Linked DNA regions of Alligator mississippiensis. The protein of the gene in region 1 purifies or fractionates together with the protein of each later gene. This does not show direct contact. Links are inferred from orthologs where the notes say so. Each region holds a gene or a part of one and is shown in the gene's direction. Other genes may lie near its edges. The genes, in order: CUL4A, RBBP4, TRPC4AP and FBXW5.

The links.
Region 2: the proteins of CUL4A (region 1) and RBBP4 purify together in Homo sapiens (affinity purification with western blotting; 3 studies listed by BioGRID, with this or other methods). This does not show direct contact. The link is inferred for Alligator mississippiensis from reciprocal best matches to the Homo sapiens genes CUL4A and RBBP4.
Region 3: the proteins of CUL4A (region 1) and TRPC4AP purify together in Homo sapiens (affinity purification with mass spectrometry; 7 studies listed by BioGRID and IntAct, counting the BioPlex papers as one, with this or other methods). This does not show direct contact. The link is inferred for Alligator mississippiensis from reciprocal best matches to the Homo sapiens genes CUL4A and TRPC4AP.
Region 4: the proteins of CUL4A (region 1) and FBXW5 purify together in Homo sapiens (affinity purification with western blotting; 5 studies listed by BioGRID, with this or other methods). This does not show direct contact. The link is inferred for Alligator mississippiensis from reciprocal best matches to the Homo sapiens genes CUL4A and FBXW5.

What each region holds. Positions count from the first base shown.
Region 1 is NC_081824.1:351,845,683-351,852,582, reverse strand, and holds the start of CUL4A (cullin-4A), read left to right. Parts: upstream 1-3,883; 5' UTR 3,884-3,911; coding exon 3,912-4,071; intron 4,072-6,900. Other genes in the region: PCID2 (PCI domain-containing protein 2), read right to left, coding at 993-1,082, 3,231-3,266. UniProt on the Homo sapiens protein: Core component of multiple cullin-RING-based E3 ubiquitin-protein ligase complexes which mediate the ubiquitination of target proteins. As a scaffold protein may contribute to catalysis through positioning of the substrate and the ubiquitin-conjugating enzyme.
Region 2 is NC_081829.1:5,390,338-5,397,535, reverse strand, and holds the start of RBBP4 (histone-binding protein RBBP4), read left to right. Parts: upstream 1-4,191; 5' UTR 4,192-4,285; coding exon 4,286-4,301; intron 4,302-4,768; coding exon 4,769-4,916; intron 4,917-5,752; coding exon 5,753-5,898; intron 5,899-7,198. Other genes in the region: ZBTB8OS (protein archease), read right to left, coding at 138-259, 725-749, 2,209-2,296. UniProt on the Homo sapiens protein: Core histone-binding subunit that may target chromatin assembly factors, chromatin remodeling factors and histone deacetylases to their histone substrates in a manner that is regulated by nucleosomal DNA.
Region 3 is NC_081832.1:29,697,636-29,705,250, forward strand, and holds the start of TRPC4AP (short transient receptor potential channel 4-associated protein), read left to right. Parts: upstream 1-4,600; 5' UTR 4,601-4,666; coding exon 4,667-4,777; intron 4,778-7,615. UniProt on the Homo sapiens protein: Substrate-recognition component of a DCX (DDB1-CUL4-X-box) E3 ubiquitin-protein ligase complex required for cell cycle control.
Region 4 is NC_081835.1:50,640,805-50,648,746, reverse strand, and holds the start of FBXW5 (F-box/WD repeat-containing protein 5), read left to right. Parts: upstream 1-4,938; 5' UTR 4,939-5,026; intron 5,027-5,032; exon of another isoform or gene 5,033-5,245; intron 5,246-6,637; 5' UTR 6,638-6,662; coding exon 6,663-6,855; intron 6,856-6,989; coding exon 6,990-7,147; intron 7,148-7,942. UniProt on the Homo sapiens protein: Substrate recognition component of both SCF (SKP1-CUL1-F-box protein) and DCX (DDB1-CUL4-X-box) E3 ubiquitin-protein ligase complexes.

The sequences.
Region 1 (6,900 bases):
CAGGGCAGAGCCACTGAGGGAGTTCTGGTGAGCTGGGGTATGAGGGGACGTTAAACCAGTCCTCAACAGATCACCAATACTCTCTCAGTGGCTCTGGCCCAAATAACTACCCACCCCTATGGTAAAGTATTGGGGAAGAAGGGGAAGAAGCATGTCACGGAGAAAGCTGAAGAGTTGAAAATGTGAGAAGGGACAGAAAAACACAAAACCAGAAAGAGCCACTGCTTTGGATCATTAAAAAGATATTTTTCAGGGAAGAAGGCAAGGTAAAATGAGACAAGGCAGGTGGGAAAAAAAGGAAGAGAGAAAAACATAGGCTGGGGACATGTATCTTACAATCTACATTTCACTGTATTCTTCTAGAAACCATTGTATATTTTTTAGGTTATTATGTAGCGAGGAAAAGAATGATGAATGCATCTTATTGCTAATGGGATACAGGGCAATGTTCTTCTGGCCACATATCTGGCTAACTGCAGTTTTAAAATTTACACAGTGACCCACAAAAGGAAAGGTTTTACAGACTATTAATAAAGATACTTTAAATATTCCTAAGGAACTGTAGTGAGGAGCTCACACAAATGAAGTCTATCTGATAGTTAAATGTTTTATAAATGAAATTGTTGTACTTTTCTTCTGAACAGTCTTGGTTTCTCACTTTTAAATTCTGTAGGGCTTTACATAACAGTAGACAACTTTTTCCCCCCAGATTACATCCTAGCTACATTCTCCTTTCTCAGGTATGAGAGGTTTTTTTTGTAGGTTTGTGCCTTTTTAATTTTTTGTGCTTATTTATTATCCTTGCCGTTCCTCTCTGTGGACATTACTTCATCTAACATGGATTTCCTATTTGCATCAAGAAATCATATCCAAATGAGAAAAATCTCATATCCATTAAGAGCCTCTCCAAAGTCGATGAAAATGTACTCCCCCACACAAAGAATATTGCAGGATTTGGGACTGCGATTTGGCAAGGTAACGAATTTCCTTACCTGAAGTCTAGGGTTTGCAACATGAGGATGCTTAAATGATACTAGTTCTGCACAAAAAAGTCCATCTCTGGTATCAATGGCCTCTTGTACCTAAATAAGACAGGTAAAAGTAAAAAAAATAGAAAAAAAAGAAAACAACTGCAAGGAATGACACAAAATTATGGGCTACGGTAAACACACTGGTGGGAAGGGATCAAATCCAGACGGACCTGAACAGGTTGGAAAATTGGGCAGAAAAGAATAGGATGCAGTTCAACAAAGACAAGTGCAAAGTGCTGCATCTAGGGAGAAGGAATCATCAACACACCTATAGGGTAGGGGAGGACATTCGCAGCAGCACAGCAGCAGAAAGGGATCTCGGAGTCATTGTTGACTCCAAGATGAACATGAGCCTTCGGTGTGACGAAGTAAACAGTAAAGCTAACCACGCTCTTATCATGCATTAGCAGGTGCATCATGAACATGTCCAGGGAGGTGATATTTCCCCTCTACACGACACTGGTCAGACCACAGCTGGAGTACTGTGTCCAGTTTTGGGCACCGCACTTCAAGAGGGATGTGGATAACCCTGAGAGGGTCCAGAGGAGGGCCACTCTTATGGTTAGGGGCCTGTAGGTAAGGCCCGATGAGGAGACTGAGGGACCTGAATCTCTTCAGCCGCTGCAAGAGAAGGCTGAGAGGTGATCATGTGGCCGTTTACAAATTCACCAGCTGGGCGGGGGGCAGCAAGAAACAGGAGATGCTCTGTTTACCAGGGCACCCACCCCCTGGAATAACTCGGAACAACGGCCACAAACTGACAGAAAGCAGAATTAGGTTGGACATTAGGAAGAATTTCTTCACAGTAAGTGTTGCCAGAATCTGGAATGGGCTTCCAAGGGAGGTGGTGCTCTCCTCTACCTTGAGGGTCTTTAAGAGGAGACTGGACAAGCACCTGGCTAGAGTCATATGACCCCAGCACTCTTTCCTGCCCAGGGCAGGGGGTCGGACTCTATGATCTATTGAAGTCCCTACTAACCCTAACAACTATGAATAAGTTCTAGACTTAGCCACCTTTTCCCACATATCAAATAAAGCCACTTTCCTGCAGATGCATATACATTCTTGTCAATGACTTTTCAAAAATTAGTTTTTCATGCATTACTTCCAAATAACTTAAGTCCAGAAAATACATATTGAAATTCTGTGAATGATGTGGATGACCAACACTGTCACCACCTTTTTTCTCCTTGCTTACAAAGATCAAAGTAAACCAGAGATCTTACAAAACAATGTTATATCATCATTGTCTTTGGATGATAGGTGTACAAAGTTTCTAAAATGTCTTTAACAATTTCACTTACACTTCCAAGAATAAAGATACACTATTAATTTTCATTATATTATTTATTTTCCTGAAATGGAGGATATTTTAAGTGCAGGGAATCATGTCTCTTAAATGTATCTGAATGTTATTAATGTTTAACAATACAAATTAAATATAGAAGCTTCAGAATACAAAAGCATGTTGGGGGGGGGGGGTCTGATCCAGCCCTGTGCTGTTCATGTGGCCCACGGACTACTCCTGTGTACATCTGTGGCCCATGAGACCAGGCAAATTTGACACCCCTGCATTAATACATCCACCACCCCTCAGGAAGACTTCAAAGGGGCTCCATATGTACATGTGTGTACTGGGTGTATGCATGTGCATGTGTTTGCATGCACGTGTGCACATATTGGGTGTGTGTGGGTGCATGTATGTGCAGGTGTGTATACTGCATGTGTATGTGCGCATGCATGCGTGTATAGTGGGTATCTGAGTTGCTGGTTGTAGCCACGTTGATCTAAGGACATAGACGAGCAAGGTTCTTCGAGTAGATGTGATATCTTTTATTAGACCAACTGAGTAGCTGGAAAAAAGTTCTTTGCAAGCTTTCAGGCACAGTCAGTCTTAGTCGGACATAGGGAGCCTCTGCTGGTCTAAGACTCTAAGGAATGTAGTGGGCATATGCGTGCATATATACTGGGTATGGTGTGCATGTATGTGTGTGTGTAGTGGGTATATGCATGTGCATACTGGGGATGCGTGTGTGCATGTATGTATTGGGTGTGCAGATGTGTGTGTAGTGGGTGTATGCATGTGCACATGCGTGTACACTGGGTATGTGCATACGTGTGTGTTGGGTGGGTGTATACGGGGTGCCCGAGCAGACATGCGGGACAGGGAGGACGAATGCCCGCCGGCCGCCCACCTACCTGCTGCAGGTACTGGTTGATGGTGATGTGCGCCATGCGCCGGGCTGGAGAGGCCGCCCCGTGAGACGCCGGCTCCTCCCAGCTCCGCCGCGCACCCCCAGCTCCCAGGACACAACGAAAGCCCACCCCCTTCACGTGACTTCCACCCTCATCCCTCTTCCTTCCCCTGGTGCGCCCCGTACTCCGTCACGTGTGGGTGGGGCAAGGAGGGGGCGGGGCCAAACAATGCTGGCGCTTACTCCAGCCGAGCGGCCCACCTCCCCGCGCTGACAGGCCAGTCGCGGGAGCCACGTGATCTACGCCAGGCCCACCTGGCTACAGGAGTTAGCTCCGCCCCCCGCCCCTGCTTCTCTTTCGTTGAAAGGGCAGCGCTGGCTCCCCGCCCCCCCCCTTCCTTTACATCCGCGGGAGGCGGGGCTTGTTGCTCCACGCGCTGGGGCCGGGGGCGGGGCTTCCTTAGGGCCATGGGGGCGGGGCCCGGGAACACGGGGGTCTCCAGCTGTGCTACAGGTCCCCGAGCCCAGCCCCCCGCCCGTAGAAGTACAACGCTCACAAACATCTGCACCACATCTGGGGACACGTCCGTTGCCCCCCAGCGCGAGCTAGCCGTTGTGGGAGGCAGGGCTCGGCCGCCATCTTGCGGGCGGGGCGGTAGCGGGGGGCGGGCCGGGGCCGGCGGAGATGGCCGACGAGCCGCGCAAGAAGCCGCACTTGACGGCGCTGGTGGGCCACACCAATGGCCTCACTAAGGCTGTGGCGCTGGCAGGGGGTCGCGTCGGCCCGGGGGGGGGCGCTGTCGCCGCCGCCGCCTCCAAGAAGCTGGTGATCAAGAACTTCCGAGGTGGGTGCGGGGCGGCCCCCTGCCCTCGCCCCCGCGGGGACCCCGGGGAGCCGTGAGCCCAGCCCCGGCCGGGGTCTCCCCTCTGATAGGGGTCTCCCCCCCTCTCCCCTTCCCCCCGCGCCTCGGGGCTGCCGCCTTCCCGGGGCCCCGCCGAGGAGGCCCCTGCCCTCTGCACTGTTTGTCAGCGCGCTGCCAAGCTTCAGTGTGCGACCATCGCATCGGGAGCAAAACACTGTGGTGCTTGCTGGAAAAATCAGCGTGCAAATAAGTTATTTTTTTCCAGACTTTATAGTGCGGGCTGTAGCTCTCTTGTGGGGGAGCGAGGCAGGGCATCCAAGCTGAAGCATTTCTGTATTTCAAGGCAAGTGGACATAAGCAGGGATCCTGGTTTTCTCTGATTGAAAAAAATATATATCCCCAATTTAGGTTTAAGAAAAGGAACCCAGAATCCACATTTTCTATGATTCAAATGAAACACCACTATATCTATCCATCTGTCTCTCTCTCTATCTATCTATAGCAGGGGTGGGCAATTATATCGGACAGAGGGCCGCTTACTGAGTTCTGGCAAGCCATCGAGGGCTGCATGGCAGGCAGCCAGGGGCAGATAACTATTGGTTTTCTAAATGTTTAGGGGCCCCACGGGCTAAATAAAATGACCTGGAGGGTCGCATTTGGCCCGGAGGCCGCATTTGGCCCACCCCTGATCTATAGATATATCTCTATCTGTAGACATATCTCTATCCATCTACGGAGATAGATAGAGATATATCTATAGATATAGATAGATAAATGATTTCACATTTTTCCATGATTAAAATGAACCACCACTAATAAATATATATTTATAGATAGATAGATATGTTATTGATGTTGTATATATATATATTAGTAGTGGTTCATTTTAATCATGGAAAAGTGTGTATTTGGGGTTCCTTTTATTAAACTGAAAATTAGGGATTTTATCCAAGAAAACCAGGATCCCCGGTCATAAGAAGGTGCTGACAACCAACCCAAAAGTCAGTTAAGACGCTGCGTTTTGTGGGCTAAGATCAAGCGTAGTCACTGCACTGGTCTGTTACCCAGACCAAGATGGATTTAAATGGCATTGTGTAGTGGAGGATGCACCCCTGTCCAATGCACTGCAGGCAGAATGTCCTACAAGTTTTAATTAGCTTCCCAGGGCCCAGCTTCCAGTGGGAGGATCTTGCCTACATGCTGACTTTATGGAAATGGGGGATTCCTCCCTACCTTGCTCCTGTGGCTGTTGGCTAAAGGCAGGTGAGACTTGGGGGCATCTGAACTCCAAGCCCTCTGGGTTTGGACCTGCATCTAGGATGCCTGCCAGTGGATTTGGGAGTATCTGAAGCCCGTTGTAGCCCCACAGATGGTGTTTGAACAGTTGAGTTTCTCTCAATGGAGAGGATTCAGAACTGACTTGGCTGATTTGTCCTGAAATATGAAAAATTTTCCAGAATTAAAAAAAAAAGCCAGTTAAGACTCCCTGAGAGACTTGGGTTTTGCATATTCTGCATCAATTAGCTGCCTCAAAAAATTATACATTTTGAACACTCTTACCATTGTTGACTGTACATTGTACAAGCATTGAAATTATAGCACAAATATGATAATTATTGTACACCTGACAACACTGCAGCTTGTTCTGCAGCAGAAGTGGTGTGTGTGTGTGTGGAGCTTTGGGGGGGTCCCTTGTTTCAAGGCTCTACAGAAAGGTGTAAACTCAAAGCTCGCTGCTAATGCAGGCAGCATTGGTTGGGCGCTGCTCTAACTCATTATGTTCAGAGTATTTCTCAGTGGAGCTGCATTCAAAGAAAGTGGCAGCAGATGGGGCCCTGTGTGTGTGTCCTGGCCCTACACCCTGGACTTCAAAGGATGGAGGAGGCTCTCACTCTGCCAGCGACTTTGGGCAGACCCTCCCCTTCCACTGGATGGAGTCCTGTGGAAGGAGGTGGAGGGTTCACCCACATGTCCTTCTTCATCAGTCCTTGCTTAAAAAGGTGCTTTGGTTAAGAGCATATTCATGGCTTAGTTTGGGGAAGATGCTGTTAGGTTAGGTAGGGAGATTCTAATAGTGATGTAGTGTTAAATTTTGCTTTCAAGGCAAACCACGTGTCTTGCAGTACAGCACTTTGTGCACAGAAGCTTGTGTAACATCTGTCCCAGCTGTACTGTTGGTCCAGTAAAAGATACCACAAAAAAACAACCCTCGCTTCTTGCATATTTCCCAAACTGGCACAGCTAAAACAACACTCCAGTGCGATGGCTTCTTTTCCCTCGGGAAGTTGACATAGGCTCTCACTCCACAAGCTACTTCACACATACCATCCCTTTCAGATGGATGGAGTCCTGTTGAAGAAGGTGGAGGGTCTGCCCAAATTGAGATGCTTAACCAAATGGAGATATTCTCTCACAAACATGGACAGTGTGTTAAAAAGTCCAAGTTGCGTTGAGGTGCTGTGATGGCCCAGGAAATATGTGAGAGGAAAGTGTTTATGTGGGCAGTATCTTTTATTGGCTCAACTAACTACATCGGGTCAGCAACCCTCGGCACGTGTGCTGAGTACGGCATGTGAGGCCATTTTGCTCGGGGACGCCACCACCGGCCTGGGCTCTAGGCAGCTGCTGCTAGCCACGAAGCCTGGGCTGCTCCCAGCAGGCAGCTGGGCGGCTGCAAGCCCTGCCGTGGTTGGCAGCAGCTACCCAGAGCCTGGGCTGGCTGCAGCCGGGAGCCTGCAAACATCTGCTCCGGGCTCTGGCATTAGCTCCGTACCAGTGGGTGCATGCGTGCCTTGGAGCAGACTTTGTCCA
Region 2 (7,198 bases), on another chromosome or scaffold:
TATTCAGATTTGGAAAGAATAAGTTAGTTTAATAAACCTGTGCCAATACTACATGCAATAAGCCAGCTATTTCTGACTGAAAGGCAAAGTTAATTTCAACAGTATTCTCTTTCAAAGTTTGCACAGTGCCTTCTTACCTTCTGTCTGCACTTCTACAGTATCCAAGGGCTCCACAGTCTCTGTATCTGTTATGTAGCCAAACATGGCCATAGCACACTGCTCAAAAGCTTCTTCCAAAGTATCTCCCCAGGCATGTAACCTACAGAGACGTAAGAGTTACACCATCATACAGCAGCGACAAAGAAAGACGAGAAAATACAAGTAAGGAATTGGAGTACCATAGAAATACGAGTAGGAAAAGCAGCAAACACAGTGCCTTTAAGCAGGGAGACTTGTCTATGGTAAGTGCTGAAACACTGAAAGACAATGGAGTTTCTTTTGGAGGAACAACATGGAAAAATATTGAGTATTTTACTAAAAACCATGGATATCTAAACAGGTACTGTTGGAACATATGTACATGGAACATTTGGAAATAAGAGGCAGCAGAATTATGAAACAAATACAGCATCTTTAAATGTGGCATCCACAGGCCCAAAAGGGATATATTTGCACCCTATTCTCTTGTCACATTAGATTTTGTCAGTTACTCCTGATTGACAAGTATTGAAGAGAATCAGGCTTATAGAGAAATTCTACTCAAATTCCAGCTGTAAATACTCACTGAACATCAGCCGTGTGATCCAGATCTGAAGGATTAGGAGAAAAAAAGAAAGAGTTATGGAATTGTCAAAGTTGTTTAGAAAAACAACGCATGACTACTTGCAAGAAAATTCAGGTCCTGTTTTTATCATGAGAATATTTTGTGCATGTTTTGACACATCTGACCTCATATTAATAATGTTAATCTGACCTTTAGCTAAATATGCTATAAAAGGATCAATATGATAGCAGCACATAGTAGGTACCATAATAGGTTTTAAAAGAAAGCCACCAAGAAAAACAACCCCTCCATAATAAACCCATCACCTTGTTTCCACAAAAAGTACCCCCAATATATATGCATTTCATACCATCCTTCAATAGATGAAAATGTTATAGAGCTTTCCCAAACTATACAGGCCACATGGAAGAAACTTAAAGACAGAATTTGAACCCAAAACTCTTGTTTCAATTTTCTTCTCCTTGAAGTTGGTAACCTTCCCCCTGCCCCCCATATTGTAATCAGTCTCACATCAATGTTCACTTAAAATGCCAGAAAAGCATTTTAGATAATCTGTTTTATGGAGCAGCTCACAGAAATTTTGTTTCTCAAGGAACTTTTGATCTGACTTCCCTTGTGGGGATAAAAGAACAGATGGTGTAATAGGCCTGGCTTTACACTGTATCCCTAATATTGGTAGAATACCCTAAAACCCATCCAACTTGTGTTACTGGGGTTAAACTGGATATGAAAACCAGGCATTAATTCAAAATGAGTTGCATGCTTATGGGAACAAGCTGTGCAGTGTCAGTGGAAACCAGTATTCTGCAGAATTACTGCCAGATACAGTTGTGCCACTAAGATGCATAATACCGGGAGCTGCAGTGCTGAGCACTTGTTGTCTGCCCTTCAACCAGCAGGAGTTGAGGGGACTCAGTAACGCACAGGATCAGACCCTACCATACCTCCCTCCTTATAACAGCTCCACACTAAGGCATTATACTTAAGTTTTAAAACAAAATAAGCATTGGTACTTTGTTCTGAGCTGACTGGCTAATAAATCAGTGGTGGCAGATGTGATTTGCATAATTAACCAGCTCTTGGATTATAGTTTCTCCAATGAATATTATATTTTCTTAGTATGGTATCATCATTACCCCCTACTGCAAGTCAGTTTTGAGTGATAATACCACTTTTCATTTCACCCAGCAAGATTTGCTTCCTTCTCTTTTCAGGCTTTCAAAATAAACTTCCAGTTGCAAAGTCAGGAGTCACTAACTAGTTATGGCAACCTGCCTGGAGGTGCTGAACACACAGGGACTTCTTTAGGACCCATCGCACAAAGCTAAATGATCTCCGTTAAGATAACATATCAAGACGCATCAATAAGCCTCCCCTACCCACTTAGAGACAAGATCCCAGGGCACAGTGTGAAGCACAAGTTTTACACGTGCTTAGGTCTATACCTCCCCTCCCAGCCACAGACATGCCATGGGGATACTCACACTCATACTTCTTATTGAGTGGAGGGTACTTGGCTTTGATAGCCTTCTGCTCCTGGTTCAGGTTGTAATCCCGGAAATTATCAGCCATCACTGTCAGCCTTGCAGCACCTGCTTCCTGCTTTATTCAGACAGCCCCTCTTCGCCTGATCCAGCCCAGACTCACCATGTGATCCTACCCTTTAAAGGCAGAGCTCCCTGCTCGACTGGAGAGCAATGAGGACACCAAGTGGCACTGAAAATAAGTGAGGTTTGAAATGTGCACCCCTGAATTCTCCAGCCACAAAATCCTTTGCAAGGGTATTTTTTAGCCTGCAAAAACGTACTAGGCAGTGAGTCAATGAAGCTGAAAGAAGTTCTCAATGTGCCTAAAGTTAAGCTTCATTTTCAGGATCCGCACCACAAATAGCTTACACCTTGAGCTAGTGCCAGGCTGTCCTTTGGTTTAACTTGATTAATTTTGCGCAGCCTCAAGCATGCTGCTGCTGCTCAAGAAGAAGGAAAATAGCAAAAGAAAAGGAAAACACTGGCGATTTAGACTGTTTGAGGCTTCCACCAGGGGCCGAGCGCTATGAATGAAAGCGAAAGGGGGGAAACGATGAGATGGTTTCTAGAGTTAATTCCAGTAGAAGGAAAAGCTGGTATTTATTTATTTTTTAAATCTAAGACTAAATAAATACCATCAGTTACTCTGTTTTTTTAAAGATGGGAGTAAAGAATACAATTTGTAAGAAAAGTGTAGTCCTGTTCTCAGTGGTGGCCAAGGAGCAGCGGTCTGACGTTGCAGCAAGGGTGGTTTAGGTTGGATATTAGGAAATACTCTCTCACTGGGAGGGTGATGGTGATGAAGCACTGGAGCGGGTCACCTAGACAGATGGTGCAGTCTCCATCCTTGGAGGTTTTCAAAACCCAGCTTGGCAAAGCCTTCACTGGGATGATGTAGTTGGGGCTGGTCCTGCTCGGAGCAGGGGTTGGACTAGATGTGACCTCCCGAGGTCCCTCCAGCTCTCATGTTCTGTGATACGGTGATGATATCGGGTAGGTGTTCTCCAGCGTCCTCCTTCGGAGCCCCTGCGTGGTCTGCTTTATTCTCACACCGCTGCAAAATACTGACTCCAGTTGGAAATAATCAGCGTCTTTCCTGCTGCAGTGAAGAGCGAGGCCAGAGGCTAATCAGCAGCGATCCCGGTTTTCTCCGATTAAAAAAAATTTTTTTTTTAAATCCCCATTTTTCAGTTAAATCACAAAAAAATGTGGATTTTTTAAATGAAACCTCATTAATATATAGGTAAATACTAGTGATGTTTAATCTTAATCATGGAAAAACATGGATCTGGGATTACTTTAACTGAAAATTGGGGATATCCAGAGAAAACCAGGATCCCTAATAGTCAGCAAAGGCCGACCATAATGTCTCCTACACAGGACGCTCTTGTACAAAACTCTTACGATCTCCAGCGCTGATCGGACTCTTTGGGGGAAAATCAGAGGGGAAAAAAGAAACAAACCCCCACGTAGGAAGCAGATTCAGGCAAAAACTGAATTTTGTCCTTCAAACCTAGAACGAAACAAAAAGGGGGGCAAATAAATATTGCTTTATTCGAGATCAATATTGCTATATAGGCTAATAAATATTGCTTTATTCAAGATCCTCAATCCTGTCTGATCACAGGTTGCAGCGACTGGCAGGCAAGCCCTAGGCTGCTTGCTTTTCTGCCCCTCCCGCAGCAGCCTTGAGAAACAGGGTCAATGAGGCTTGAGCCCCAGCAAGGGCATGAGGGGCCGCTGGCCCTTTAAGGCGGCCCGCCATGCTGCCCCTCCGTCAGAAAATGGCGGCTCCCATGGGAGCTTCACCAGCGCCGGCCCCTCCCACGTGACCGTACAGCAAGCCCGCCGCCTCCTTAGGCCCGCCCTGTCAAGCGCCCGCCGGGCTCCTATTGGCGGCGGGCGCCCGGCCGCGGGCGGTGATTGGCGGGCGTTGGCGCGAAGGGCGCGCGGCGCCGGAGTGGCACGCAGAGGGGGTCGGAAACAATAGAGCGGCGGCTGCACCGAGCCGGCAGCCCGCGCCCCGCACCCCAACATGGCGGACAAGGAAGGTACGTGCGGCCGGGAGCAGGGCCTGGCGCCGCGGCCGGGAGTGGGACCTCCCCAGCCCTGCCGGAGCAAGCAGCCCTTGGGCCTCCCTTCTCTTCCTGTCCGGCTCCTCCGTGGGAGCCTTCAAAGAGGCATTTCCCCCCCCCTTTAATTAGCATGTGTTGCATAATTTTCCTTTAATTTGCATATTTGATATCATTGGCCCTTCATCTGCACAGCAAAGCCCCCAATTCTGGTTCTTGGGGGGGACTGAAATGCTTCCCCAGGTCTGTGCGCGGTGGGGGGGGCCCTTGGTAATGGGCCCGTGAGGGCCACGGAGGGCGGGCGGGCGGGTGGGAAGGTGCACCCTGGCAGTGGGTGGGTTTGTTTGGCAGCTACGGCAAAGCGACGGGGCCGCACGGGTAGGGTGCTAGCCGGACCCGCCGTTGAAATGAACACGTTCTTTTTTCCTCCCCTTGGCGACGTGCAGCAGCCTTCGACGATGCGGTGGAGGAGCGGGTGATCAACGAGGAGTACAAGATCTGGAAGAAGAACACGCCCTTCCTCTACGACCTGGTGATGACCCACGCGCTCGAGTGGCCCAGCTTGACTGCCCAGTGGCTTCCTGATGTAACCAGGTGAGTCGAGCCTCCTGGTTGTTGGTGTAAATGGGACTGAAGGACGCTTTCGCTGTCACGTATGGGAGGGAGTGGGTTGCTGCCGGCTGTGATCAGCTCTTTGGCCACAGTAGGTTGAGGACTGTTGTGCTGGCACCAGGCAGCACCTCTGCTGCCTGCTGCCTGGTGCCTCTTTGATTCAGAAATAGCTGCTGACTGGCAGCAAATGTTTCAGGCTGTGTTCAACCTGTAACTAAGTGATGTTTTCTTCTTTACCCTCCATTGATGAAGTTGCAAAATGAACGTACGCAGCATTTAGGTATTGTTCAAAACCCTTCTGCTGTGCAGCACAACTGTTCTTTCCCCGGGTCCCTGACACAATGTATTTTTCCACCTGTCACTTGCAGAAAATGCTAATATGCCTCAAGGCGTTACTCACGGGAGTACTAGTGGGAGAGTCCTGCGGGGAGAAGAGAGCTTGTATTGTGGGGATGTCAGATACAGATTTCCTTGCTGCTATCTGTCTAAGGTTGGACAGGGGTGATTTTGTTTGGGATAGCAGCAAGGAAATAGGTATCTGCTATCCGTCTAGGGTTGGACTGCGGTGATTTTGTTTGGGATAGCAGCAAGGAAATAGGTATCTGCTGTCCGTCTAGGGTTGGACTGCGGTGATTTTGTTTGGAAGATTTGATATTGGAGTAAGAGGGCATGGTCAGCGCTAAAAGATATATTATAATTTTTATTTTATTTATTTATTTTTGGAGGTTTAATTTCCAGGTCCAGGTTTGTTCCTGTGAGCCAACTATATCTAATTAACTCCCTTTCATTTCCCCTCCTGTAATCCTATTTTGTTGTAGACCCGAAGGCAAAGATTTCAGTATTCACCGGCTAGTCCTGGGGACACATACTTCAGACGAGCAAAATCATCTTGTGATAGCCAGCGTGCAGCTGCCCAATGACGATGCACAGTTTGATGCTTCACATTATGATAGCGAGAAAGGAGGTAAGAGTCTCGGATGATCAGCAAGTGGAGTTCCAAACTTTTTTTTCCCACTGGACATAATGGCTTTTTTCATTTGGAGTTAATAGATCATTAAGTAATATGGAACTTTTATCCTATGAAGTGATCAGGAGAGGTTACAACTTTTCCTCCTTTCTTCTTGGATCTGTGCACTGTACTCTAATCTTCCATATGCCATGCTGAATTAAACTTACTTTTTGCTTTTATAACATTTTGAAGAGGAGAGGGGTAGAACTTATTGGAAGATTGTGCAATAGAAATTATTTTAATTATTTCTCATTGTGACTGCATAAAGTATTCTTTATGATGGTAGCTTTCATAATTTGATAAAAGAGGCTTTCTGCCATTCCTTAGAGGGTGTACAATTTCAAGTGTTCTTTTTAGCTTGAATTCTGCTGACTGGTAGACGTGCCAGCCCCTCCAGAATAAAAGGATGATTGTATTTTGCTCAGTTAAATGCCATAATACCATGGGATCCAAACCAAATATATCAGTAACCTTCCTAGGCAGCCAGCATTCCTACCTATTAGCCATATCTTATTCTAGTTGGGTTAATGATTTCTTCCACGTTATACAACTTTTCCAGTTCAGTTGTCTCATTTCCTTGTTTGCCAGGAGCCAAGGTTGTGCAATTGATACCTTGATTGTTGGACTTGCTAGTACTGCTTGTAAACAAGATTCTGTCTAAAATACTTCATTTCAGGATTTCTGTTTCCCAGAAATATCAAATTTTAGTACCACTACTTCTTTTCTTTTGTTGTTGTCTTCAATTCCTTTTTGTTTTTTCAGAGTGAGTATTAAAGTATAGTATATTAAAAAGTTTTGCAATATTACTTGCGATCATAAGGCTGTAGATATCTTTTCCTTTTATTCTGTTTATTTCCTGAAATCTGCTTGTGATCCTGAAAATAGGTTTAGTTTTGACTTGGTTGTATATGATTAAAAGTGTGTGTGTGTGATAGAGAGAGAGATTCCTGTACAAAGTGTGTAAGTTGGGGTCTCTCTCGGTGCAGGTGCTGACAAATACTTGCTCTCCAATTCACAATACAAATGTTAAATATAGCTTCGGCAAATCTGTTGAGGAATTTCAGTCACTTATCTGATTTTTTCTTTTTTTATAACGGCTTTACGGCTACTTTATTTTTCCGTACAAGGCAGTTTGCTCTTTTGAATTGAATAGCAGATTGGAAGCCAGGTGCTCTTGACAATGAGGGATAGTGCTGTGGCCTTGAGCAATGCTGTCTTTCTACCTCAGTTTTCTCGTGTTTAAAACTAATAGTTT
Region 3 (7,615 bases), on another chromosome or scaffold:
CTGGGTGGAGTCCCACCTGTTCTTCTGTGGCTCCGCCCTTCTTTTTCAGGTCCTCCGGGCAGCTCATATTTTTCTTGGTGCCATTTTTTGGTGGCAACGGAGGGTTTTGGCACGCTGCCATCTCCGCAGTAGCTTTGCTGACTGTAGCTAACTGGTTTTTTAAGTTTGCATTTTCACGCAGTAGGAGTGACACTACGTTAATCATCTTTCCTTTGTCCCACTCGGAGCTTGTCCACTCCCTTCCAACTCCCTCCTCTCCTTTCAGCGAGAAGTAGCCGCTGACGCACCCTGTCTCCACTCTGCTTGCTTGGTGATAAGCGATGTGGGCCCATAATTCATTCGCGTTATCTACACGGTGCCCCCCACTACACCAGGGGCAGTTCTTAATTATGTGCGTGCCGGGTCTGACCCGGGTCGCTTTCGTCGCTCTGCACACGGGCTGTGGCCAGCAGCCCGGGCAGGCCGGATCGGAGAGGGCGGGCGCCGAGCTAGAATTAGGCACAGACACGTAACGGTTGATTTTAAGATTATTTTACTTACACCGAGATGGTCGTGGTGTAGGCTGAGAACTTGCTTGAGTTGCGGTTACAACAAAAAACACGAACACACGTGGAGCTTGCTAGGCTCCACGCAGACAAACTCCGGATGTCCAGGACAAGCGCGCATTAAACTCGTCGTTACGTCTTATAGTAGGCTCCATTCGAAGACGGGAAGAGGTGGGCGATGGATCAGGCCGCCAAACTCCTCCGAGCGACACACAGGGTTTCTATTACCCTGCCACGCACACCCAGAGTCCCCACGAGATGGATGCGGAGTCCTCTTCGGCTTGGGTGGAAACTGCTCAAGCCTCTTATACGGCTAGCAGGCCAATCGCTAGCCGTCACGTGTGAATAATTTAGAACTAGCCAATTGCGGGGCACGAATTTGCATATGACGAGCGGGAAACCTTTGCACCGTGCATTTCTGTGCTGCAAAGGAAATGCACCCTGCAAAGATCGCTGCAAAGTGGCGGGAACACTCCCCTGCACGCGGGTTCTCTGCGCAACAGAACTCCTCCGTGCAGCGAAGTTGCAAACCCACGGGGATAATTCTTAGTGCCGAAGCGCACACACAAAAAAAATCAGACCTTTAGGTCATGACAAATTAATTCCCACTCCATCACATTTCCCCTTGATCCTGTTCGTGACGCCATGTCGGGACCCAGGGCAGCCGGCCAGCAGCTCTCCCTGACTCCCACCCGGGCAGATAAGGGTCCGGGGCCTTAGAAGGCCATCAGGCGGGTACTTGTGACGCTTGGAGTGGAATTAATTAGGCGGACGCTTATTGGTTGCAAAGCAAGATTATTTACTCACGCCGTCAAGGTGGTGAAAGACGGAGGTCAGATATACTTCGTTAGTTATAGCTTAAGGGTCGTAGGTCGGTCTGCATAAGAGTTTGGTAGTCGCGCAGAGAAATGGTCGGGCCGGCAGGTCGTCGATTAACGTCTGAGAATTGGGTTGAGACGGGGGAAACTGACAAGTGATCAATTTGTCAGTTACTCTCACGCATACGTTCAGAGGTATTTTAGGTGTGTGTGCGGAGGTCTCCCGTTCTTCACGGAAGTGCAGACGGGTTTTATTTGTGTAATAGCCAATTGTTTTTCGCCACATCATAAATTTAATTAGAATCGCCAATTATCTAGCAGTCTTCGCTAGGGTTCTATCTCGCAGGGTTACTCCCTGTTTTCTTTGACCAATTATAATGATTTATGTACAGCACAAAAGGCTAAGTTCTATTTCATGTTAGTGTCGCAGTTATAAATTTCTTTTTGACATGCGCAGAAAAAAAAAAGCGGTTACTATCATTATTGTTAACCCTTAGTTAACCTAGTGCAGAAAAAAACTGTTTTGAATGGTTTTACTTGTTTGTGACATGGGCACTACTTAATTTGGTTGTGACAATAGCCATTGTTGTATTTGTGTGTTTTAGTTGTTGGATTTTATAGTATCTCAAAACAAAGTTAACCACGCTTTCTGCTTTTGTATACACCCGCTTGCCAAACACTAACAAAGATGATGACGTAATGGTCTGTACATAAACATGATGTGACTTGCTGTGCCATGGGCAAGGGGGCATGTCACAACCCAATTATAATAGTGCCCATGTCACAAGAAAGTGAAACTATTTAAAGCAGTTTTATTTTCACTAAGTTAACTAAGGGTTAACAAAAGTTTTTGCCAGTAACCGCCTTTTTGCTGCGCATGTCAAAAAGAAATTTATTGCTGCGCCACTAACAGAGATAAAACTTTTGCCTTCTTTGCTTTACATAAATCATTGTAATTGATCGGAGTGACAGGGGAGTATTCCCTGCTACAAACACCCTAGTGAAGACCGCTAGATAATTGGCGATTCTAATTAAATCTATGACGTGGCGAAAAGCAATTGGCTATTACACAAATAAAACCCGTTTTAACTTCCGTGAAGTCGGAGAGCGACTCCGTATACACCTGGAGACCTCTGACATACGTGTCAGAGTAAACTGGCAATTTGATCGCTTGCCAGTTCGCCCCCATCTCGACCCAATCTCAGACGTAATCGATGACTGCCGGCCCGACCTTCTGCCCGACCACTTTTGCGAACTGACCTACTTTGCAGACCGACCTCATAAACTCTAAGCTGTAACTAACCAAGTATCTCTGACCTCCGTCTTTCACCACCTTGACGGCATGAGTAAATAATCTTGCTTTGCAACCAATAAGCGTCCGCCTAATTAATTCCACTCCAAGCGTCACAAGCACCCGCCTGACGGCTTCTAAGGTCCCGACCCCCCCGCTGCAGTGCACGGCAGCGACAGAGGGAAGGGCCATGGGGGGGCAGATCAAGGCCCCTGCAGTGAGGGAGGGTGTGGGGTTGGGGCAGGGGCTGCCCAGGTGGGGCCTGGACGGGTGCAGGACAGAGGTGCGGCTCGTTGGTGGGGGTGCAGCTCCCGCCGCTCCACACAGCTCATCCGGTGCTCATCTGGCGGCTCCCGCTGCTGCTCCCACCTCTCATCAGGTAAGGCATGTGGAGGGGCTTATATGTCCCCTGGATCTGCACAAGGCAGGGTGGGCTAGGGCTGGGCTCTTCCCAACCGGGCAAATCTGGGGACACACGCCTTCCCCCCATATCCTCCTGGACCAACAGCAGAAGCAGCAGCAGAAGCTGCCAGACAACACCGGATGAGCTGGGCGCAGTGGCGGGAGCTTGTCAGCTCCCTGACAAGCGGCGCCTCCCCTCTGTCCTGTGCCCACTGCGGCCCTGGCCCCAGCCAACAGCTGCAACCAACCCCACGTAGATCCAGGGGGCACATGCCACCCCCACCCCCTGCAAGATCTGCTTGCTGCTCTGTCCCACACCCCTCCCCGCCCTGGCTGGTCAATGCCTGCCCTGGCCCCAGCCCCTGCCCCATTCCCTCCCTTCACTGCAGGGGCCTTGATTTGCCCACCTCACATCCCTTCCCTTCCCTCCCCTCCCCTCCCACCAAACCAGACTTACCAGCCTTATCAGAAATTGGATCGGTATCAGCGCATATGCCTCCTTAAAATTCGGCTGTCTGTACCGGCATCAAATATCTCTATCAGCGCACCCTCCGCCTTTGTTTAGGAGGGCAGCATATTTATCTGATAAATAAATACATGCATGTAGAATAGACCTGGGGCCCTGAGAGCGGAATTGGGTGTGCATGCCGGATTGCAGCATTGTAATGATTGCCTAGCTCTGTTGTAGCGTGTTAGACCCCATCTACACATCGGCTGCTTGCAGACATTAAAAAAGAAAAAAATGGCACCTTAAAGTCAGTGTGATCCCACCCTGAGCCCAGCACATGCCCAGAAGAGGCACTTGGACTTGCCTCCCCCAACATCCTTAAGATTGGGTGTTTTAGTAGGTCTTTTGGGGCACTTTTATTAATAGCTGATTGAATTAGCTATTAGATAAAAGCACCAAAAAGCCCCATTGAAGTACCCAATCTATATAGATGCTGGGGAGCTGGATTGAAGTAAGTGCTGCTGCTTCCAGTAAAGCTTTTGTTTTTTGGGGGGGCGGGGGAGGGGTAGTGTCGGCAAGCAGCATTATGCTTAATACAATATTAACTTGTACTCGGGTCTTGGCTTGTGACTCAACTACATGTACAATTTATTCGTGGCTTGAGAAAACAAAGAATGAGCCACAAAGTTATTCCAAAACAAATGTGTAATAGCTGTGCTTCCTTATTACGCCATTATCTGAACGCGTGGCCATGGGCCGAAGGGCTCCCGGCTGCGGGCTCTGCCAGCCTTCTCTGCGGGGGCTCCAACCGGGCGTGCAGGGCAGCGGGTAGCCCCCGGGTGCTGCCGTGCAGTAAAGCGCGGGCGCTGTGCTCCAGTACTGTGACGCGGGGGTGCGTGGGAGGCTGCTGGACCGGTGACTGTGGCAGTGGCGCCTCCCCGCGCTCACTTCCCTAAGGCTGCAGCCAGCACAGGCGACCGGCGACGCTCTCCTAGGCTGGGCGGGCACTACATTTCCCAGGGGCCCCCGAGCGGCCTGCTCTCAGGTCGACACTGCGGCGCAGCCGGCGGGGGTGCTGTGGGACGGCCCTTGCGCCGATTCGTACCGAGCGGCCGGGCCAGGAGGGGTGTTTCCTGTTTGTCTCCGAGCAGCAGGAGCGGCCATGGCGGCGGCCCCGAGGCTTGGCGGAGGCGGCCGGCGGGTGGCCACCAACATCCTGGCTCAGCTTCGGCATGGGCAACTTAGCGGCAACGGCCTGACTCGGGGGGCGCAGGTACGGCGGGCCTGGCGGGGGCGGCGCTGTGGAGGCTGCGGGCCCCCGCAGGCGGTGTGATGGTGGCGGGGGTTGGGGCCTGCATGATTTGGGCCCCGGAGCAGGGGGCGCTCTCGCGAGCAGAGCTGCAAGCGCTGAGCGAGGCCGTGCGCGGCCGCTTTGGCCTTCCTCGGGTGTAGGGGGAGGGGAGCGCCGCTAGCTGGAGACGTGTCATGCCAGGGGGGGGCGTCTGGAAGCCGCGAAGGGCGACGGCCAGTGCTGCTGAAGCTTGTGAGCTTCTTCGTCCTGCAGCTGGTCAAGGGCTGGTCCCGGAGCCGAGGTTCAGAGCAGCCCGGCTCTTTTGCCTGCTTCTTCCCCACGCCAGTGTCTCGCTCTTCTGGCCCCGTTCCGCTGCTGCCTCCGGTTTACAGCCCTCCCGCCTCGGGGGGCGTGCCAGGCCGGAACCTCTGGCCCAAGCGGGGAAGATTTTCTGCTATGCCCCCAGCTCTGTGCAGAAGGTTGCATGTTTCCCCTTGGCTGAGGCGTGAACTTGCCAGGATGGCAGGATGTTGTGTTTTAAATTTCCTTGTGACTTTACATGCAAGCCACGGAAAGTGCTGAGCAGCAGTCCAGGGCTTGTGTCCTGTGTGGGTGCAGAAAACAGCCTCCAAATCTCCCAAACTGCCAGTTCTATTAGTGACCTCTTGAGCTTTCTGGTGCATAAATCCACCCCTCCCACTCAGACCTGGGTGTGTGGGGTTGTTTTCTGTTTGCTTGCTCTCACATGTGTGGTGCAGGAGCATCCACTGGATGATTAGATACAGTCAAGGGGCAATGGGAACTAGATTTGACATTCTCTGCTTGCTGTCCTCTTATCACCCTACTTGTTAACCTTTGGCCCCCATTCCTGTTCAGTTTCTCATGACTTGTCCTATGATATCTGTTTTATACCACAAGTATTGGCCTTACCTGGATCCCAGGCCACAGCTGGACCACAGGGCTCCTTGCAGGCTGGATCCAGCCCCATGCTCTGAGGGCTGCCACAGTAGCTACCATGGTAGTGACCACACAGGGTCCAGTGGAGGTGAAACAAGCTTGCCACCAATGACCATGTACCATGGGGCCAAAGGACCCTGGATTATGTAGGTCACTCCACCCCCCTCAACTCCTGGTGCTTGCTGGCAGCCCAGTAGGTCAGATAGAGAGGCTTCATGGACTGAGTCCAGCTCATGGACCATGGACCATATAACTCATGTTATATGTTTAGTAGTGGCCTCCATCCAGCCATTGAGGGGGACTTGTAGCTTCCTGGTGTGTCCAGACCTACTGTGCTTGCATACAAATCATCTTTTCCCAGCCTAGTTTGTACTGCAAGACAGCAGAACAGTATTAGGAGCTGAGAACTGTCCTCAGAATCCCCCATTAGCAAGAGAATGAATTTATACCATACTACTTTGTTCTCTCTCTTTCCTTGAAATTCAGGATGTAAGGAGACTGGTGGAGAAGGGCCAATATAGAAACCACAGAAATACTGCCCTGTGGTGGTGTTTTGCTTGGAGGCGAGGATAGAGGTGCTTCCTTTTCTGAATAGAAAAGAAGCCCTGATTGGCATTTCAAATTAACCCAAAATGTCAAGATTTAAGTGCATGTGTTGATTTATTCAGGCATGTAACCTGGTGGACTTAGTGGTGAGTAGTAGCATAATTCTGAAATGAAAGAGAAAGGCTAACTGCATTTTTCATTTAAGTAACACTGATCAGAACTTTTCTGAAATTTATATTTTCCACTGTTGATGATCCCATGAAACATTGAGAATGAAATCAATTTCTTGACTTGGATTTTGTTTACTCTGTGTGTGTTGGCTTTCTGTGAAGCTTTTTATTAGTGCTGGGCTTCTGGCTGATTTTAATGCAAAGAAAGTAGCATTAAGCTGGAGGAAAAAGCACAAAAAATTATACATAGGAACCTACTGAAATTGTGATTTCACAATCTTCATGGAAACTGCAATTTTAGGCAGGCTCCCAAAGAGGTGCAGACTCCCTGGGGAAAAAAAAAAAAAAACTTGCCAAAAATAAAATGCTGGCTCCCCTTGGAGAGCCAGCAGTCCTTGTGGCCACTGTGGCTCAACTACATAGCCTGATGGGGGAGGGGAAGGGGGAGCTGCTGGCATGGCAAGATGGCTGCTGCTCCCACCCATTATATAGACTTTATAAGCTGTGTTTAGAAGAAAGGGCATGTTCTTTGGATCTGCCGTCCTGATGCGACTTCACTGAGTAAAACTATTAATCTTAAAAGAATCAAGTTAGACTAACGAACTGAAGCTATCTCCTTGGTATACCACTTTTCCTGTTAGTTAAGGACTTGAAGCATTTTGATCATTGAATAGTGTTTATGAGCAGTGATGGATACAAGATTTGTTTGCATAACTTTAGGCCTCAATACCTATTTTATAATATAGATGTTGGGTTGGATACAGCCTAGTGATAATATTCCTTGTGGCCTACCTGCAGTACTGTCCATTCTAAGGAAAATAACAAATCACTAGTGAAAGGTTGTTGGTCTTGTGCGTGTGTTTTCCTTGAGGTTTTTTGATAATTTAACCTTGATATTGTCCCTTTTAAAGTGAACAAGTTCCACAAGATTGTTTTTTAACTGTAATACATTATGGTCATGATTCATGTCCTGTGCATTATCCGCCATAACTCGCATCTCATTTTATATTGATTTAAGTAAAATTATCAAATACTTGTGTGACAAGAGAGACTACAACAGGATGTTCTAACATACTAGATGCCTGCTTACCTTCTTCTGTGGTCTTAGCTTTATATGTACCTGAGAAGCCCAAGAGGCAGTATTACT
Region 4 (7,942 bases), on another chromosome or scaffold:
TGCTCCACATGGATGTCATGGGACCAGTGGATCGTGTCAGACACCATAAGGCAGCGCGTCAGCTTGACGTAGCAGCAGGAGACATGGCAGGCACGCAGGACGCTCTCATTGTTGGGGTCCCAGGCTCCGAGCGTTCCCATGAAGGGTGCGTTGACTCTCACGTCATAACCACGGCCCCTCAGGATGTCAGCCAGTGGGGCATACTTCTCCCGCTTGCAAGCCCAGGTGTTGGTGAAGCTAAAGACCAGGTAGAGCAATTATTTTTGTTTAATCCCATTATAAAAATGAAAATGGCCCTTTTAAAAAGGAAGGAGGCAATAAACCTGTGGAACAAAGGGGTCATCGCTACAGACAAAGAAAAAACAACTGAAAGAGATCAACCCAAGTAGGAAAAAGAAGCAGTTTAAAAGCGACGAGAGCCGTCACTGCCTTCAGAGAGCACAGAAGTAAAGAGGGAGAAAGTAAGTCAAAATGAGTCATTTTCTGTGTTGAACCCATGGCTTTCACTGTCTGGTAAAGTTACAGATCTCATTGCCAGGCCCATGTTCTGAAGGGATTGTGTGGGTTTCCCTTAATGACAAGGACTGTGTGGTCAGAGCTGGAGTAGTTGTTCTTTGAACACTGTTCTTCCACTGGTGAGTTAGGACATTTTGTGCCTGCAAGTTCGCCTGACATGTCTCTCAACTATCCCGCAGATCCACTAAAAGATACTACCAAGCAAAACCTACTTCTTAACATAGTCCCTGGAGCAGCAAAGCTACCAAACTACACTATTCTCAGCAAAAGCAGGATGCTGCCCTCTCCTGGCAGTAGCCATCCATTACTAGACTCCTCTCATGAGCTGTTAGACTGGACAGGTAGCAGAGGCACAAGAAGAACTGATTTTAAAAAGATCCATTAAATGAAACAGGGAGGCACTGAGGTCCCGGAGGGCAGGGGAGTTGAGAGTCCAAGACAAGTGGTCGTTCCTTAAGGAGATGATCCTCCAAGCCCAAAGGGTGACAATCCCTACATGGATCAAAGGGGGCAAGAGCACTCAAAAGCCCCCATGGCTCACCAAAAGCATCCAGGAACGTCTCAAAGCCAAAAAGGAGGCATACACGCAATGGAAGAGACGGGCCATCACCAAGGAGGATTATACCTCCATTGATTGAGATTGTATGGGGGCTGTTAGGAAGGCTAAGGCAGAGATAGAACTGGGACTAGCGACCTGGATCAAGGATAACAAGAAGTCCTTTTTTAAATACATAGGGGGTAAAAGGAAGGTACCAAGTAAGGCGGGGCCTCTGCAGAACATGCTTGGTATTCTGGTGGTAGCACCAGGTGACAAAGCTAATCTCTTTAACAGAGTCTTTTCTTCCATGTTTCTGAGAAGGGACAGGGACATCCCTCGCACTGGGAATCTGGACCAACCTAGGGGAAGTGCAGGGAACTTCTGGAGGGACTAGACATGTTCAGATCAGCAGGTCCTGATGATCTCCACCCCAGAGTGCTGAGGGAATTGGCAGGGGTCATTGTGGGACCCCTGGCACAGCTTTACAAGCACTCATGGTGCTCTGTCCAGGTGCCGGAGGACTGGAAAAGGGCCAAAGTGGTCCCCATTTTCAAAAAAGGGAGGAAGGAGGACCCAGGAAACTATAGGCCCATTAGTCTTACCTTGGTCCTGGGGAAGCTCTTTGAGAAAATTATCTGTGAGGGACCAGCAGGGGAGATTATGCTCAGGGGCAACCAACATGGGTTCATTAGGGGCAGGTCCTGTCAGACCAACCTGGTGGCCTTCTATGACTAGGTCACAAAAGCCTTGGACACAGGTGTCACAGTGGACGTAGTCTTTCTGGACTTTAGGAAGGCCTTCAACACTGTCTCTCACCCCATCCTCATTAAAAAATTAGGCAACTGTGGAGTTGATGCCTACACAGTCAGATGGGTCACAAACTGGCTGGAGGGCCTCACCCAGAGAGTGGTGGTAGACGGGTGTTTTTCGACCTGGAGGGATGTGGGCAGTGGGGTCCCCCAGGGCTCGGTCCTCAGGCCCGCACTGTTCAATATCTTCCTCAGTGACTTGGACAAGGGGGTGAAAAGCACCTTGTTCAAGCTCGCAGATGACACTAAGATGTGGGGAGAAGTGAGCATGCTAGAAGAGAGGGACAGGCTACAACTAGATCTGAACTGGTTACAGGGGTAGGCAGATGAGAATAGGATGGGTTTCAATACGGACAAGTGCAAGCTATTGCACCTGGGGAGGAAAAACCAGCAGCATACCTACAGGCTGGGGAACTCCCTTCTTGTCAGTGCAGAGGCAGAAAGGGATCTTGGAGTCACTAGTGATTCCAAGATGAACATGGGCTGACAGTGTGGGGACGCGGTCAGAAAGGCTAACCACACCTTGCCATGCATCCATAGATGCATCTCAAACAGGTCCAAGGAGGTGATCCTCCCCATCTATGCAACATTGGTCAGGCCACAGTTGGAGTACTGCATCCAGTTCTGGGCACTGCACTTCAGGAGGGATGTGGACAGCATCAAGATGGTCCAGAGGAGGGCCACCCACATGATCAGGGGGCAACAGGGTAGGCCCTGTGAGGAGAGACTACAGGACCTGAACCTGTTCAGCCTCCACAAAAGAAGGCTGAGAGGGGATATGGTGGCCGCCTACAAACTTGCCAAGCGGGACCAGCAGGCAATGGAAGAGTCCCTGTTCCCCCGAGCACTACCGGGAGTTACAAGGAACAACGGCCATAAGTTGATGGAGAGTAGGTTCAGGCTAGATATTAGGAGGCGCTACTTCACAGTCAGGGAAGCTAGGAGCTGGAACCAACTTCCAAGGGAAGTGGTGCTCGCTCCTACCCTGTGGGTCTTCAAAAGGAGGCTAGACAATCACCTAGCTGGGGTCGTTTGACCCCAGCACTCTTTCCTGCCATGGCAGGGGGTTGGACTTGATGCTTCGGTCCCTTCCGACCCTACCAACTATGAAACTACGAAATGTCTATGCCCTAATGGAGCATGAGTGGGAGGATCAATCCTGGGCCACGCTGATAACCAGGAGGCGGGGGGGAGGGGTTCTTCAGAATCCTGAGCCAGGAAGAAGAGATTCCAGTCTGGGCTTAGGAGCAAAACTTTTCTCACCGGGTGAGCCAGGTGCAGCAATTACTGTGGCACATCTTTCCAGGCTGGGGGATGCAACGGTTGAAGGCTAGAGAAGAGCTCACCATTTTCTGTCATTGCATAAGCTTGGAGAGGCTCCCACTTGAGATGCCCCACAGCGCAGGGCACTGCACACTGATAGAGACAGTCTCCATGCCAAAGAGCTTATAGGCCACCCCACAAAGGATGGTAGGGGAAACAAGCACCCAGTGGGGAAGTGATTCAACTCCCTGTCTCCTATGACCCAGCTCATCCTGCCCTGCTGATTGCTGGGGCCCTGACACAGGTTCAAATGAAAGCTGGATAGAGACCAGCCATGGAGCTGTTAGCATTTTGTGGTGGGAGAAACCTCCCTAAGGTCCGTTGTCTAGCTGTAATTTGATTGACAGACAACGCGGGTAAAGAAAGACAGCTGTTTATTTGCTCGAGCAAAGACCATAAAGCCAGCAAAAGGCAAAATGGCCCCCCCTCAAGGGTGAGGCGATCTTTTATACTTCTTACAACAAAGCAAGACTATATGGTTAACAAAAAGCAATACTTGGGGCGGTGCTCTACAAATCTTTGTAACAGCATATTTCTATTAAGCTGAACTAGCACTTTTGAAAAGCTAAAAGTTAAGTAACAGTAACATTATGTTAGCAAAACCTTACACAGTAGAAGATACTTCTCAAGGACACAACCAGTAAGCTCAAAACAATGGTTTCTCTGTCTTATCTTACTTCTTGCTGTAGCTGATTTTTTTTAGCGCACAGACACAGATTCACTTTTTAACTCAGAAAATGCTTGTTGCAGTTAAAATGATTACTTGACACAAGCAAAGGCCTAGCTATCATTCTGCCTTGTGGTCAGCTGCATTACTAGGCCACAGGTCATGCCTTGTATTCAGCTGTAAAGCTAATACTTCTTAAAAATCCAAATTATTGTAAACCTAACAGTATGCTTTCAGAAAACTATTCTATTTTAGGGTAATGACAAACCTGCGGACTACAATTTCAACCACTGACTCTTAGGTGGTTGGATCTGGAGTCATTTTGATGGTGTGAGGATCACTTTACATGTGTGGCTGGTCTAAACCTATGACACGATTCACCTGTCCATTGTGTCACAGATGTAACATGTAGCAGGCATCGCAGGCAGATGCACAACTGCTATTAACCCCAGCAAGAGGAAGGGCTGCCACGGATCCAGGTGCAGCCCTGTACTCTGGGCAGGGCGGGGCTAAATGCGCCCAAACCCCCTGCTGCGACTCCATGAGCCTGGCCAGCTCCTGACAGCTCCCAGGCTCCTAGCGCTGGTGCAGTGGCAATGAGCAGGGCCCTCATTTCGCCGCTGGGCGCCAGCCTGGTTCTCCCTGCCACGGGGTGCAGCTCCGGGAAGGATCATGTGCTGGCTCTTATTAGCTCCCGGTTAATCAATGCAAAGTATTTTGCATACCGAGGTCTCATTTGCATAAAGCATCACCTATGGGGCAAGCCCAACACAGCAGCGCCAGGGCTGGCTGGGTGCTGGATGTTGGGTAGTGGGTACTGGGTGCTGGACACTAGGTGTTGGGTGCTGGACGCGGGGTAGAGGGTGCTGGACACTAGGTGTTGGGTGCTGGACGCGGGGTAGAGGGTGCTGGGCGCCGGGCGCCCGCCTGACGCGACACCTCCCGCAGAGGGGCAGGAACACGTGGAGGTGACTGGAGAAACGGATGATGCCGAGCTCTACTCGCCAGGCCTGGCCGGGCGGCGCTCTGGGATGAAGCCGTTAGGCCTAGGGGATGGGGCGTGGCTGCGGAGCACAGAGAGGGGCTAGAGCGGCCAGCACAGGCCGGAGCGGAAGTGAGGCGGGAGGGGCCGGAAGCGGCGTGCGGCAGAGCGCAGAAGCAGGAGAGGAGAAGGTCTCGCGGGGGTGGGGCGGGCGGTACCATCGGGGCGAGGGCGGTGCACGAGGCTGCCCCCCCACCCCCGGTTGAGATGGTCCGGGCCGCGTGAGGGCGGGGCCAGCCGGGACCCTAGTGTAGACGCGGCGCCGGGTCCGAGCACCCCCGCGCTTCCCTGCTCCTCGCGCCGGCTCCGGCCCCCGGGGGCGCGGCCGCCCGGAGCCCGGTTTCCTGCAGGTGCCTGCCCGCGGCGGCCGCTCGCTGGGCGCGGGGCAGGCCGGGGAGGGGAGCGGAAAGCAGAGCGGCGGGTGGGACAGGAGCGGCAGGCCGGACTGGGGCGGGGCAGGGGCAGAAAGCAGAGCAGCAGGCCAGGGCAGGGGCAGGGGTCGCGGTGGCACTCGGGGAGGCTGCGGGTGCGGCCGGTTGCCCTCCAGTGCCCCCGGCGGCAGGGCCAGAGCTTGCTGCTGCTTCCCCAGGACTCGGCGACACGACCGGCCTCGCTGGGGTCCCGGCTGCTCTCGGCCCCCACCGGCCGTCAGCCTTGCACCGAGATTCACCTCTTAGTGTTGGAGCAAAAGGATCGGCGCGTCGAGCAGCAGCAGTTGCTGCTGGCGCTTTCTCCGTGGGGCTCGAGACGCGTAGCGCATTTCGTAAACACAGTGTGTGCTCCTCGCCTCCTGGCAGAGCAAACGCATCCCAAACGTCTGAGCTGTGCTGGAGTCTGGGTGCCAGGTCCGTAGGCAGCGCTGCTGCGGGCTGACAGCAGGACGCGCTGCTCAGTGTCAGGCCGCAGACCTCTCGCGCTCGCCAGGGAAAGTGGCAGCGTAGCAAGCTCGGTCTGTACGTGCTCCCCTGTGCCTGGTCTGCGCGCTGCGCGACTGGCTGGTGTTGAAGCGGTCCACAGCCAAAGCCTATTAGCTGTCCACTGATTTAAAAGGGAAGGAGGAGCTGTTTTGGGGGGTGCGTGTGAGCTGCTATGCTCTGTCACTACAGGAGCTGCAAGTGGTCAGCGTCACTAATGTTAACTGTGATCAAGATGGCGTTAGAGTTACGAGGACGTGGCTGTAGGAGCAGACCCGCCGAACCGCTCCACTAGGCAGCTTCCTATAGGCATCAACGCTGCCTCCGTTTGCACCCTTTGTTCAGCTCCGTGCTTCACGTGGTTCAGCTCACTGCTTTCATGCTGAAGGTCTCGCTTTCAAGTCCTGCTGGTGGACCGCACTGGGGGTCACTGTGCACAGGACTGAAGTCAGGCACGTGCCCGATGCTTCGTGTTCATGTGCCTCCAGACATAGGACCATGGGGGCTGCCACATGTGTGAACTTTTTTCTTTATTTCAAAAAAGCTTCATCTGCATGAGGGCAAGTGAAGAGAAAACTGGTCTCAGGTTTAGTTTAAAACTGCCCTCCCCAGCCCACCAATGCTGTTTTCCTGACAAGTGTTTGCAATTGGAAACATGACTGTTTAAAGTGGGTACATTTGCCTCTGCCTGTGAGAAGCCGCGATTGCTTGCTTTGCCTGTGAGCGTGCTTGCTCAGGCATGGCAGCCTCCCTGTTCTGGGCAAGTGTCTCCCTAATGATATGCTAGGCAGGTTGGTGGAAACTAACTGCATTCCTGTGTCTCTCCAGAGTCCTTTGGTGACAGAATGACACTATGGATGTTGGGGGTAATCCCCTTCTCCCTGACAGCGTCCTCTATGAGATCTTCCTCTACCTGGACCACGTAGACGTGCTCTCAGCAACACTGGTGTGTCGGCAGTGGCACGCAGTGGCCCGGGATGAGTTCTTGTGGAAGGAACTATTTTATCGATACTACCGGATTTCTCGGGAAGTGCCGCGGCACCCAGGTCAGGTATCTTTAATTGTGCGCTGTAACTGCTACAGGCAAAGCCACCCAACTCCGTGGCCTCTGCTTGTGGCTAACCCCCATCCCCTCCTTGCTGCCTTCCGATTCCCAAATGTCTCGGCTTGTGTGTTGCAGTCGCTGTTTCCTGGTACGATGAGTTCCAGAGACTCTATGACACCATCCCGTGCGTTGAAGTACAGACCCTCAGGGAGCACAGTGACCAGGTCTTGCACCTCAGCTTCTCCCATTCTGGCTACCTGTTTGCATCCTGCTCCAAGGACTGCACTGTTAAGGTAAAGAAGTAGCCGGCTCTTGTACTGGCTGATTTGTTTGTTCACTTGTACCAAGTGAGGTAGGCTCAAGCTTTGACTCCAGCTGTATAAACTTCTGTCAAGCTGTTGTACCCTGATCTTCCTCTTCTTCCTCCTCCTCCCTTTCCTTTGCTGGGAGCTGATCTGATTGGTTAGTATAGTGAGGCCTTTGGATCAGGCACTGTGGAGGAGATGCTGCAGCTGAGACGTCTTAGCCTCCATAAAACACAGGAGAGGTATAGAAGTCACAGGGCTCTGAATATATGGGGCTGTGAGCTAACCGGTTTGGCCTCTCTGAGCAGCTGGTCTTTATAATAGACTCTGAGCTCATTCAAGAAGCCCCTTTCCCTTTGGGGGTTTGAAGCATTTCAGGGTCGGGTAATTATTTCAGACAGAGGGCCGCTTGCTGAGTTTTGGCAAGCCATTGAGGGCCACATGACAGGCAGCCAGGGGCAAATAAATTTTAATTTTCTAATTTATTTATTTTTTTTTGTCCCTTTGGGCCGGAAAGAATGGCCTGGTGGGCCACATCTGGCCCATGGGCCACATTTTGCCCACTCCTGATTTTAATGTCTGTAATGTGGAGGAGTATAACTTGCATGTGACTGGACTGGGGGGGGTGGGGGGGAAGACGATGCATATTCTGGAGCGGGTGTGGATGAGCTGTGACCTGTGGGAAGGATTGCATAAGGGCTGGGGACATGGCTTTGCAGTACAATATCTGATCTGATTTTTGTGGCCCAAGCCAGCTCTTCCCAGGTTCTGCCTGAAGCACCG